3 linked regions of the Ovis aries genome follow. The protein of the gene in region 3 purifies or fractionates together with the protein of the main gene of each other region. This does not show direct contact. Links are inferred from orthologs where the notes say so. Each region holds a gene or a part of one and is shown on either strand. Other genes may lie near its edges.

What was found.
Region 1: the proteins of NOP56 (region 3) and GNL3 purify together in Homo sapiens (affinity purification with mass spectrometry; 4 studies listed by BioGRID and IntAct, with this or other methods). This does not show direct contact. The link is inferred for Ovis aries from reciprocal best matches to the Homo sapiens genes NOP56 and GNL3.
Region 2: the proteins of NOP56 (region 3) and BRIX1 purify together in Homo sapiens (affinity purification with mass spectrometry; 3 studies listed by BioGRID and IntAct, with this or other methods). This does not show direct contact. The link is inferred for Ovis aries from reciprocal best matches to the Homo sapiens genes NOP56 and BRIX1.

Annotation. Positions count from the first base shown.
Region 1 is NC_056072.1:48,263,186-48,266,934, forward strand, and holds the start of GNL3 (guanine nucleotide-binding protein-like 3), read right to left. Parts: upstream 2,127-3,749; 5' UTR 2,045-2,126; coding exon 2,032-2,044; intron 1,414-2,031; coding exon 1,355-1,413; intron 650-1,354; coding exon 512-649; intron 411-511; coding exon 306-410; intron 210-305; coding exon 129-209; intron 1-128. UniProt on the Homo sapiens protein: May be required to maintain the proliferative capacity of stem cells. Stabilizes MDM2 by preventing its ubiquitination, and hence proteasomal degradation.
Region 2 is NC_056069.1:39,391,433-39,394,708, forward strand, and holds the end of BRIX1 (ribosome biogenesis protein BRX1 homolog), read right to left. Parts: intron 3,110-3,276; coding exon 3,060-3,109; intron 2,957-3,059; coding exon 2,883-2,956; intron 2,727-2,882; coding exon 2,676-2,726; intron 2,550-2,675; coding exon 2,448-2,549; intron 1,468-2,447; coding exon 1,339-1,467; intron 1,096-1,338; coding exon 826-1,095; 3' UTR 640-825; downstream 1-639. UniProt on the Homo sapiens protein: Required for biogenesis of the 60S ribosomal subunit.
Region 3 is NC_056066.1:52,250,325-52,254,073, forward strand, and holds the start of NOP56 (nucleolar protein 56), read right to left. Parts: upstream 2,462-3,749; 5' UTR 2,432-2,461; coding exon 2,429-2,431; intron 2,275-2,428; coding exon 2,185-2,274; intron 1,825-2,184; coding exon 1,710-1,824; intron 1,336-1,709; exon of another isoform or gene 1,264-1,335; intron 1,111-1,263; coding exon 949-1,110; intron 796-948; coding exon 597-795; intron 510-596; exon of another isoform or gene 374-509; intron 258-373; coding exon 70-257; intron 1-69. UniProt on the Homo sapiens protein: Involved in the early to middle stages of 60S ribosomal subunit biogenesis. Required for the biogenesis of box C/D snoRNAs such U3, U8 and U14 snoRNAs. Part of the small subunit (SSU) processome, first precursor of the small eukaryotic ribosomal subunit.

The sequences.
Region 1 (3,749 bases), on a different chromosome or scaffold from region 3:
AGAATTCTTCCCGCTCAAGAGAACGCTACTTCCACTTCTATAAAGTTGGTGTCAGGAGAAAGGAAAGATGACTCTTAAGTCTTTTAAACTTCACAACCACTTTTAGACACTAACCTAGACTATGATACCTTTTTAAGTTCCTGGCAGTGCAGCATCTTCGGACTCTGTTTGCTTGTCTTGGCTCTCTTAGCTTTGCGTTGCCCTGATTCCTGGGGGATAAAGACAAGGGAAAGGATACACAATTAGAAGGTCAGTAGACGTGACTCATTTCCACTTTTCATGACTGTAACCCCTACTTCTCTTACAGGTTCTGTGTTAGATAGCTCAACATCAGGGTCAGTTTCAAGTTTTCTTTTCTTGTTCTGTTCCTTTTGCCTGTCAAGTTTCTGCTGCTGTTTCAGTTCTTCAAGCTGTGTTCAAGCCACAAGAGAAATGCATGAGCCAGTGACTTGCTGTTGTAACTTTACACACACCCACACACTTGTTGAAAGTGTGAGCTAATACATCTTACCTGCTGTTTCCTTAGCTCAGCTTCCCGAAGAAGAGCCTCCTTAAAAGGAGCACTGTTTGGAACTCCTGGGTCTTTCCTAGGCTTCTTTCGACCCCGTTTTTTAGCCTCTTTCCTCAACTTTCGATGGTGCTCTCGAACCTATCATAATGGTATTTCGTCAGTTTACAGAAATAATAAAGAGAATTCCAGTGAGTAGCCAATGTGGCTGTAGTTTAAGTTATATCTGTGAAATAACCTAGAATCATAGAACTTTAACCATAAAACAGAACATGCATGTTTATGTATAAAACAGCAAGAAAATGTCACCAGGACTCTTTTTGCAGCAATTGCTACTATGGTGATCAAAATTTACAGACATGTCACTGAATTATTTCTGCTCCCTAAGAGCTTGCACCATATCGGACCTCCTGACCAGGTATATCTGACCTCTATTCTAGTTAAACCTCCACTAGTGAAATCATACTAATGTTAACCCACATCTCTGGGGCAGGAAATCAATTTAGCCTCTTCCAGGCTTCCCTGGTAACTCAGTTGGTAAAGAATCCACTTTCGATGCAGGAGACCCGGGTTTGATTCCTGGATTGGGAAGATCCGCTGGAGAAGGGCTAGGCTACCCACTCCAGCATTCTTGGGCTTCCCTTGTGGCTCAGCTGGTAAAGAATCCGCCTGTAATGTGGGAGACCTGGGTTTGATCCCTGGGTTGGGAAGATCACCTGGAGAAGGGAAAGGCTACCACTCCAGTATTCTGGCCTGGAGAATTCTACGGAGCATATAGTCCCTGACCTCATAAAGAGTCGGGCACGACTGAGCAACTTTAAGTTTCATAACTCTTCCAAGACTTACCTTTTTTTGGATTTTATACCGCTTGTGGCAGGTCATGCGTTTACTTGCTTTCTTTAATTCTACAAAGCAACAGATCACAAAAGGATTAATTTATTGTTTTTCAAAATCGATTTTATCCACAAATGATCAGCTAGTTTAGCTTTTGATGACCGCGCTTTAGGTCACATCCATTTTTGCATTAACTGGCTCTGAAACATAATTTAATAATATTGTGGGGCGCGTGGTAAAAATAATCACGGACCAGCCAAGTCCCAGAGTCTAACTTAACAGATTCGTTGTAGATCCAGCTTCCCTACTTCCACCTTTCTAAATTAGACTGGGATCGTACACAGGAGCATATAACCCCAGAACTGCCACTTCCTGTCAAACAGCACGAACCACAGAAGAAAATCTAACAGTGCGTGTTTTCAGACCTCACCAGAGCCAGACCGAACGAGGCCGCACAAGGGAAAACGCCAGGCCCGAAACCTGGCTCAGACACTGGGTCCTCATGACTCTCTGGCCTGATCTCCATCCTTGGGGCCCAGACTTTCTTTCCGCACACAAGACCGCGCTGCTCACGTGGGGCCTTCCAACCCTCGGTTCTAGGCGGGATCAGGGAGACGGAGCACCCTGGTGGGTTGGTCGACTATCAGACACAAACGCCCCCTCCACGCCCGCCCCCTGACCACACTCACTCGGCCGCTTCATAGTGGAAGCCGAAAGGCCTGCGCCCGAAGTTACACCAGCACTCCCAGGTACAACGTGCCCCTGCAGGCGCCACGTGCCAACTGAGGCCTCCGCCGAGCGTCACGCACTCACGCCGCTGCCGTAAAGCACGCCGCCACTAGCCCGTGTGCGCGCGCACGCAGTGTCGTGCGGAGCCGGGTTCGCTCGACGGCCGCGGAACTGGTTTTGCGGCGGTACCGGGAGGGGTGAGGGCGGTGAGGGCGGCGGGTGCTGGAGCGACGGCAGCGGCCGCGGCCGGAGGAGCAATAGCAGCAGCCGTGGCTTCCACGGGGCGGGGCGCGGCTGTCGGCGGCCGGGGCTGCAGGCGGCGGAGCGGCTGGGTAAGGCCGGGCCCGGGGCGGGCGGGGCCGCTTCCTCTCGGCCGACTGCCGGGCCTTTGTGTGGGCCCGGGCGGGCGGGAGCAGCGGCGGAGGCCCCGCCCCGATGGTGGGGACGCGCCGGTCGGGCCGGGAGCGCGGGGCGGGGCCCGGCGGCGGGGCTTCGGGACAGGCCCGGCAGCCTCGCCGCACCTGCCGCCAGGGACAAAGGCGCGCCGCGGCCCGAAAACTCCCCGCGCCCCGCTTTCCCGCCCCCCGCGGCTGGCCGAGCTCCCGTCGCGGGCAGCTTCAAAGCTGTCAACGTTTCCCTTAGTTCCCCGTGCCGGTGACAGGTTGGGAAAGTCTTACATTTCCTCAGCAGTTAAGGGCTTCTTTTTTTTGTTGTCGTTTCTTGACGGTTCAGACACAAACTCTCCTAGTAAAAAAAAATTTTTTTTAATACTTTCCGGATGACTGTTCGGACTGAGTGTTTTCTTAAATCAGTGGGAGTTGTATTTGTCATGGAGGGCAGATATAATTTTTTCCGTGCAACACCACAAAGAATCGAGGTTTTAAAATTGTGTACATTTTTGGCTTTTAATATTTTCCATCTCAACAAAATTTTTTTATTGAAAAAGAAGCATAGTTTCTTTGTTATAGGGTAGATGTTGATGACTTAAAGGTGAAGAAAGATAGGCAGAAATTAAGGAGGAATCCTGAAAAACAAATGACAAATACACGGTATATGGATATAGAAATTATTTCTACGATTATAGGAACATATGTTGGAGTATAAAGCATTACTATTAACTTGTTTTCCAGCAAATTATCCCTCCTCAGTGATTTCTAGGGGTTTTTTTTTCCATCTAGTAGTGAGCTCTTTTCCCAAGTACAATTCAGAAGCAAAGTAGATTCAATACAAAAGAGCAGTATAATTTCTGCTTTATCACTTGTTAACAGGTTTCCCATATTTTATGTCTAAAAATTGGAAGTTATTTTTTGAAAAAGTAAGTCAAATCAGTAACAGACATGTGTGGATAAATAGAAGGGTTTTGACCTCTTGGGCTTTGGGAGTGTCCGAAATACGTAAAGTATTAACGTTCTACCCAAACTCCTAAGATTAGTACGTTGCTGTATCTGTGTGATAGGCTAGTTTCAAGGCTTCCAACATCATGTGTGAGAATGTTGACTCAGGAATATTGTCGAAGGCAAACACAGGCTGCAACATAATACATATAGTTTGTTCACACTTCAGTTTTTTAAAAAAGCAGCCAGGCATAGAACAAATACTGAAAGCTGAGAATGCTGTCTGCCCACAGTACAGGAGACCCAGCCGGGCTGGATCCCTGGGTTGGGAAGATCTCCTGGAG
Region 2 (3,276 bases), on a different chromosome or scaffold from region 3:
AACACTGTGCAATTACTAATGTTGCAGAGCAAGGAGGGGAAAATGATTAGCAGGAAAAAAGTGACAAAACCCCACATGCATGGCCCTACCCTGTCCCCAGCTACTTGCACCCAGAATCCTATTACTAATCGTTCTTCAGGGTGATAAGCCCAGTGCTCTCTGCTTCAAATAAAGTTCTTTCGTAACAGGAAAAATTCACATGTTCTGGTGCCCTGACTGTTCCGTTTTTCTTCCTTTTACTGTTAAGTAATTTGCACCCACTGCTTCTAAATTAAATTTGTAATCTACAAAACACTTTCAATACATATATCAACTTATGCAAAATCTAAATATCTTTCTCATATTTTTTCAAGGTAAGTAAACAAGAGAAGTTGGCTCTTTCCATGCCTTGTGACTCAGGGACTCAAACTTCAGTAAGATGCTTTCCCCTGCTAGCACTCTACCCTCACTGTACCATCTGAAACGATGCCCTCAAAGTGCCTAATACTGTTTTACATAAAATAACAATCCAGTAAATCTGCCTGAATTTCAGCTTTAATAAACTGAAAATTTTAATTCAAGACAGTAGGCCTAAACCTTAAGTGTGCTAGGTTTTTAGTAATATGTAAAGCTTGAAAAAGAAAAACAGAAATTAGGTGATGAGTTCTGGTGATATTTTATTTAGAAAAACACAGACCAAACCGGAGCAAAGTCACAAAATCTTAAGCTTTTTCTTTTAAATGTCACACTAATTAGATGTAAGGTCATCGCAAATAACAAAAGTATTTACACACTGAACACAAAATAAATATAAAACAACTGAAATCAAATTAGTTCTCCATTGATTCATTTTGCATTCCCACTGCTCATCTTCTGTTTCATTTTTCTTTGTCTTTTGTAAATCCTTTTCTTTCTGGCTTTCAAATCGACTTTTGGCTCTGGTTTCACCCACTGTATTTCTACTGGCTTTTCCTCAGCCGGAGTAACAAAAACATCTGCAGTGGGATCATGGGGAAGAATAGTCTTTGGTTCTTTCTTTCTCAGCTTCTGCACATCTTTCACTTGCTGTTTCTCTCTGTATTTTGCAGCTGTGATGGATCTTATGACACGCCGATGCTAGAAACAAAAAAAATATGAAAGGTGCTTTTGAATAAAAATAAACATTTTATACATGGCAAGGACATTCACTTATGAAACCTACTTCCCTTTACCCTGCATCATCAAAAAAAAAGTAATCTGTAAGACTGGATGCAGCAAAAACTAAATTCAGTTTCACAGTTAACAGAACACTTATTTGACAGAATTACTTTGGCCCAAAAGTTTTAGGACATCAAGGACCAGTGAACAGAAACAGCTTACCATGTTTGGTGACTGGTAGTGAGGATTTTCATACAAAGTTGGTCCTCCAAAACTTCCCTGGAAAATCTTTATAAGATTTAAGACAAAACGGGGTCCTATTTCTACAAGAGCAGCATCTTCTTCAATGATCTTTAATTAAAAAAAGGAAACATTTCATTTTGATTTGAATAAAATACTTCTAAATGGTACATGGGCTATATCCTCATTACAAATGTGCTTAAAAGAACTAACAACCAATAAAGTTAAGGTGGAAGGGAAACTTGGCAAATGCCAAATCATCAATATTTTCTGAAATATATCACTGGTTACAGGTAGCTGCCATAGGAAAATATAAATGTCTTTTCAGTGTGTCTTTAAAATTGAGTCATTTCAATCTGGTCTGTATCTAGCTTCTCACAACACATGTCTTCTTGCAAAACTGGTCAAATATTTAAAACTGCAACCATGAGAACAAAATGTATTCAAGCACCCTATGGGGCACTCTTTCAAAATTTAAATCAATCCTTGAGTTGTTTTTATAAATCTAATTCAAATTAGATTAAAAGGCATATAAAAGGGTATATGGCAAAATTTATTTTTGAATGGCTACTGACTGTGGAATTAAGGAGCAACTTCTGAACCAAAAATATTACTATTTTTTGCTTAAGGTAGGGCTACATTCAGAGGTTAAGAAGGGGATATGTTTAACTCACATCTTTTCTGCTTAACACAAGCAGAAAAAAGCCCAGTTTATTTCACACGCTGTCTGAAATTCTGTCTTGCTGTTTTCATCCACCTCTCCTCCTGAATCAATCACTGTATGACTCATCTGATAGTTCTCATTAAATGTTTTCTACGGGGGCTATGTTTTTCTAAGTCTAAAACCACACCCCAGCCCCAGCAGACTCTAACCTCTTAGGAGAGAAACTTATATTTTACTCAATGTCTAGTGACTTGTGAGAAAATCCATACTCAGCTGATAGCCATGAACTTAGGTTATGAAATAGGGGTTATTTACTACAAGTCTGTAGGGAAAAGAAAGCTATGTAAGAGAAAAAGAGTATCATTTGCCTATTCTATATCATAAACACTATATATCCTAACTTATATAATTAAAAATATAAGCTAACCTGAAAGTTCCGAAACCATATCCTATTATCCAAAATGGTGAATGTAAACACATGGTCCACAAATGGCTGGCTTTTGGGATGATACCGTGGTGTACTGAAGATCTAGTGGAAAAAGGGACACGTTAGTTCTGTACTCTATGACATACCATGTGTGTTTTAGATAAAGTTAAAAGGAAGACACTTATTTATAATATTTTACTAAAAACAGTTTCTAGTAAAGATATTTACCTGAATTAAGAGCTCTTTTAACAAAGCATAATGTGGTAATTCATCAAAAACCTGTAAGAATAAAGTGAACATATTATTTGACAACATTAATTGTGCTTAAAATTGTGTTTTATTAACTAAACTGAATTATACAACTATATCCACTCAAAAAAACACAACCATGCACAGTAAGAAAATTAAACCTCATAAACTGAATGAGAAACTTACAGGGTCAAAAGACAAGAGGGGCCGAGAACCTTTTAAACAGTTTCCAGTCATCTTTAGCTCAGCTAGGGTATGAACTAGAAAAATTATAACAACAAAAACAGTTATAACTTTGGCACAATTATCCCAAAAGATTATTTTTAATTTTCTCACAAAAAAATTTAAATTGAGTCAACTTACTATTTTGAACAAGGAATTTAGCAGATGGTCCATGAGGTGAATTTGAAAGCCTAAAAAATATAAAAGAAGCTTTTTCAACTAATTAGAATTTAGAATGTAGTAAAAGCTTACTACCAGCTCAATTTAAAAGATACCACAGAGACTTCCCTGGTGGTCTAGTGGTTAACACCCTGTACTTTCAATGCAAGGGAGCACAGGTTTGATCCCTGGTCTGGGA
Region 3 (3,749 bases):
AAGTATGAATGCAGAAGCCCAATATTCAGAGCCCCATACCTTATTTTCACTGCTAGCCTCTGTACTGACCCATGGAAGACCGCGAGGCATCCAAAATAGCCTTAGCCTTGGCTGCATCCATTGTCAGCTCCTCCAGCTTCTCCAACTTTTCTTCATTAAGCTCCTTCCGGTTTCCAATGAACTGAGCAAGGCGGCAGTACGTAGCATTGTCATTGATGATCTTTACCAGCTCAGGAAAGTGATACCCATACCACTCCCTGCAAAGAACACAATCACTCCCTGGCCCAGTTGCCATGCTTCAAAGCTACACTCAGCCCTCTCCACATCTACTTTATCCCTGGAGGAAATCGGAACAAATCAGATCCCAAAACCTCCATGTCTCCCCATTCACAATACAGACCAGGTAAAGGGCCTGCCTGGGCTGAGGTGTATATGGGGTGGGTTTACTCTGCCTCCTCTTTCTATACAGTCAGTGTAAGAACACAGCCTGTGGTAAGCATCAGGAGGCCCAGCTCTACCAGTCCTGATTTCAGGATTCAAAATTAGCTAACCCACAGACCCAAGACCTTGTTTCTCAGGTCACCCCTGCACTTTACCTGACACGCATGGAGAAGGTATTGATATCCTTATCCAGCTGGTCCAGGAGGCTAATGGACTGGATAATCATATTGTCCACTCGGTTCACATTAAACTTAACTTTGGCACGAGAATAGCTGTGTCCCAGCCCCAGTTGGGCTTTACAAGCAGACAAATCGGTCAGACCTTTCACCAGGTTGTGGAAGTGCAGACGAACTCCTAGAAGAGGGTGAGACTGTGAGTAAGGAAAGGCTCTGAGCTAGTACCTGCATGCATAGGTACCAGACAAGCAGGAGGGCTTCTAAAAAGCAACCCGCTAGGTTTCCAGAACCACCGCCCCCTCACCAGCTCCAGATTTCAAAACTGTCTCACCTCGAAGGATCTCGGCTATGACACCTCCAGTCTGGCAGTTGTACCCTAACTCCTCTTGTATAGCCGCACCTATCTTGGGGTCCCCAACCCCCAGAAGTACTTTCTTCTTTTTGGGTGGCAGGTGAGTCTCCAAGAGCAGGCGGAGGTCCTCATGAACAACACCTCAAGGCAAAGAACAGAGCTCCCACTAACATGCTGAAGGACGTTTAAATCGTAAAAAGAGATCTTGTCACCTCAACTGCTGATCAGTGAGACTGATCTTACAGAGTATGCTAAGATGGCCTGTGCCTAGAGCCCTCCTCTTACTCAGAGGCTTTGCTCAGAGACATGGAGACATCAGTGATTACACTCACTCAGGGGATTGACAGACTCAAGTCATCACTGCAAAGCCAGCATCAACCATAGGAGAACAGAACTCAGGCCCCATAACCTAAGTGTAAAATATATTATTGAAAGCTTGAAACACACCCTGGAGCACAATGGATGTATTTAGTACCAGATCTGCCTTCTGGGACTAAAACTTCCTCCAGGCTTTTGGCATCAAAATTGCCCTTTGCAATCAACTGAACAAACTAGCAGAGAACCACATTTGATTGGATCTACCATTATACCAGCCCCTCAACCCCAGCCTGATTTCACTTAAAAATCATTACTACAGTGCCTACAAGAAATAAAGCGTACATCCTAGGTTGTTAAAGGGTTAACAGTAGCAAGAACTACATCTAGGCTCATCTCTCTACAATATTTAGTGGCCAACTCACCTTCAGACACAGCGTTGGCATTTTCCAAGGCAACTTGGGACGAGGAAAAGGGACAAAAGGCCACAAGACGAACGATGTTGTGGAATTTGCCAAGGTTCAGCACGCACTCCTCCACCTGGGGGGAGAAAGGTGATATTCTTCCCTCCCTCTTGCCTCTAGGGGGCAGTAAAGCAGCAGCAGCTCTTGGACCTGAAAGCACTCTTAGGACCAACCGAACACTAAAAATGGACAGATCATGGGTCCCAAATCCCGGTTCCGCTTCATTGGTATGGGGTGGAATCTGGGAAGCTTACTTTTTAATGCTTCTAACGCAATTCTAATCACGAATGCAAGTAAGGACCACCTACTTTGGAACTGTCAGGCCCAGCGCACCTCCCAACGCGCGGCCGGCCACGTGGGAGCACGCGGTGCATGCTGGGGCCCGCGCGGCCCGAGGGGCTGCGGAGCCGCTGGCTAGCCCACCATGTCCACCCACCTGCGGCAGCAGAAGGCTGATCTCCTCCACCTCCTTCAGCGCCAGAAGCGCGTAGCCGACCGCGTGCTCGAAAAGCACGTGCAGCAGCACCTGAAAAGGGAGCCGGGACACCAGAGTAAGCGCTTATCTCACGTTTGCCCAGCCCCGTCCCCGGGGAAGGCCCTGGTCCCGGCCCACGCTCCAGCCCAAACCCAGGCCTAAACCACGGCCTCCACCTCGCCCGCAACCTACAACCACTCCTCACCATGGCGCTCGCTCCTAGTCCGGCTCGCACTGTGGCGAGCGCGCTCTGGCGCGCGGAACCGGGCTCCAGAGGCCACGCCCCCGCCTCGTCGGCCAATCGGAGGCCGGGGACGGTACCATCCCTTTCCTCGGGAGGGGTCGCCCGGGGTGGTACGGCCCGCAGGCGGGGACAGGGGCGCGAGCGCCTGCAAGTCGGCCTTTTCCGGTCTCGGCTGCGGCGTGGTTGCTTGGTACGCGCCGGCCGGAACGGACCCTGCAGGCTGCAAAACGGTTTGGAAAGGCGCGCTTTTCTGGTTCATTCACTCTTGTTTTCATCCTGTAAATTACAGGCAGCAGAGCTTGGTGGGATCCGGGCTGGAGGCCCCCGCACTGATCGCGGCCACACTTCAGAGCAGAAACTGTTGCGGAGCCCAGTCTCCGCAGCGCTAGGCATCTCAGGACCTAGGCCCCGCCCCACGTCCCCAGGATACCAGGACCCGCTGCGTCCCCACCCAGCAATAGGGGTCTACCCTCTGCCGGGCCAGGGTTCTGCGCTGGCTTTCCTCATCACTGGGGCGGAAGCTGGGCCTGAGGCGCTGGCGCGGACTTTGAAGTCGTGATTCCCATTGCTGACTTGGTGCTTTTCAGTTTTATTTTTAAAAATAAAGGCTTCAGGCGCTGAAGTAGGAAAGAAAGATGATTCCCATCTTTTTCCGGTTCGGTTTATTGTTCCCTGCTTCGGCAGAACCTTCCTTCTGCGGGGCCAAGTGTCACTCGCCCTGGTGCACTGCCCAACTTAGTACCCTGTTAGTTCCAAGTGAACGGGAGCTGCTGTCGTGTCCTCTGGGCAGCTTTAAGGCACTCAGGAGACTGTTTTGAAATTATTGATACTTTTGCTTTAATAATGTCTGAGTTACAAGTCCAAAACCTGGTTACCCCAAAATGGTATATGTTGGTAAATTAAAAATAAATCATCTTAAGGGGGTTTTTACAACTTAAAATTCCCACAACTAGCGTGCATTTATAAATTCAAGGTATTTTCTAAAGCAGTTCAGTTATTTGACAAGATTCAAGTACTGAGCTCTTAAAATCTAGTAGATTAAATTTTAATCATAAATCTTAATATCATAGTCTTAATATTGCTTACATGTGTGCTTACATTTTGTTGCCTGTATCCACTTACAATCGTGAGTTCAGACTCCATCTCATGTTTTTAAAATGGAATTGGATCAGTTACTCCATCTCATGTTTTAAAATGGAATTGCAAAATTAATCTGTTACATGAGAATGTTAAAGCATTATAAATGCCACATTAAATAGAAGTTTCCAAAATATATTGGAAC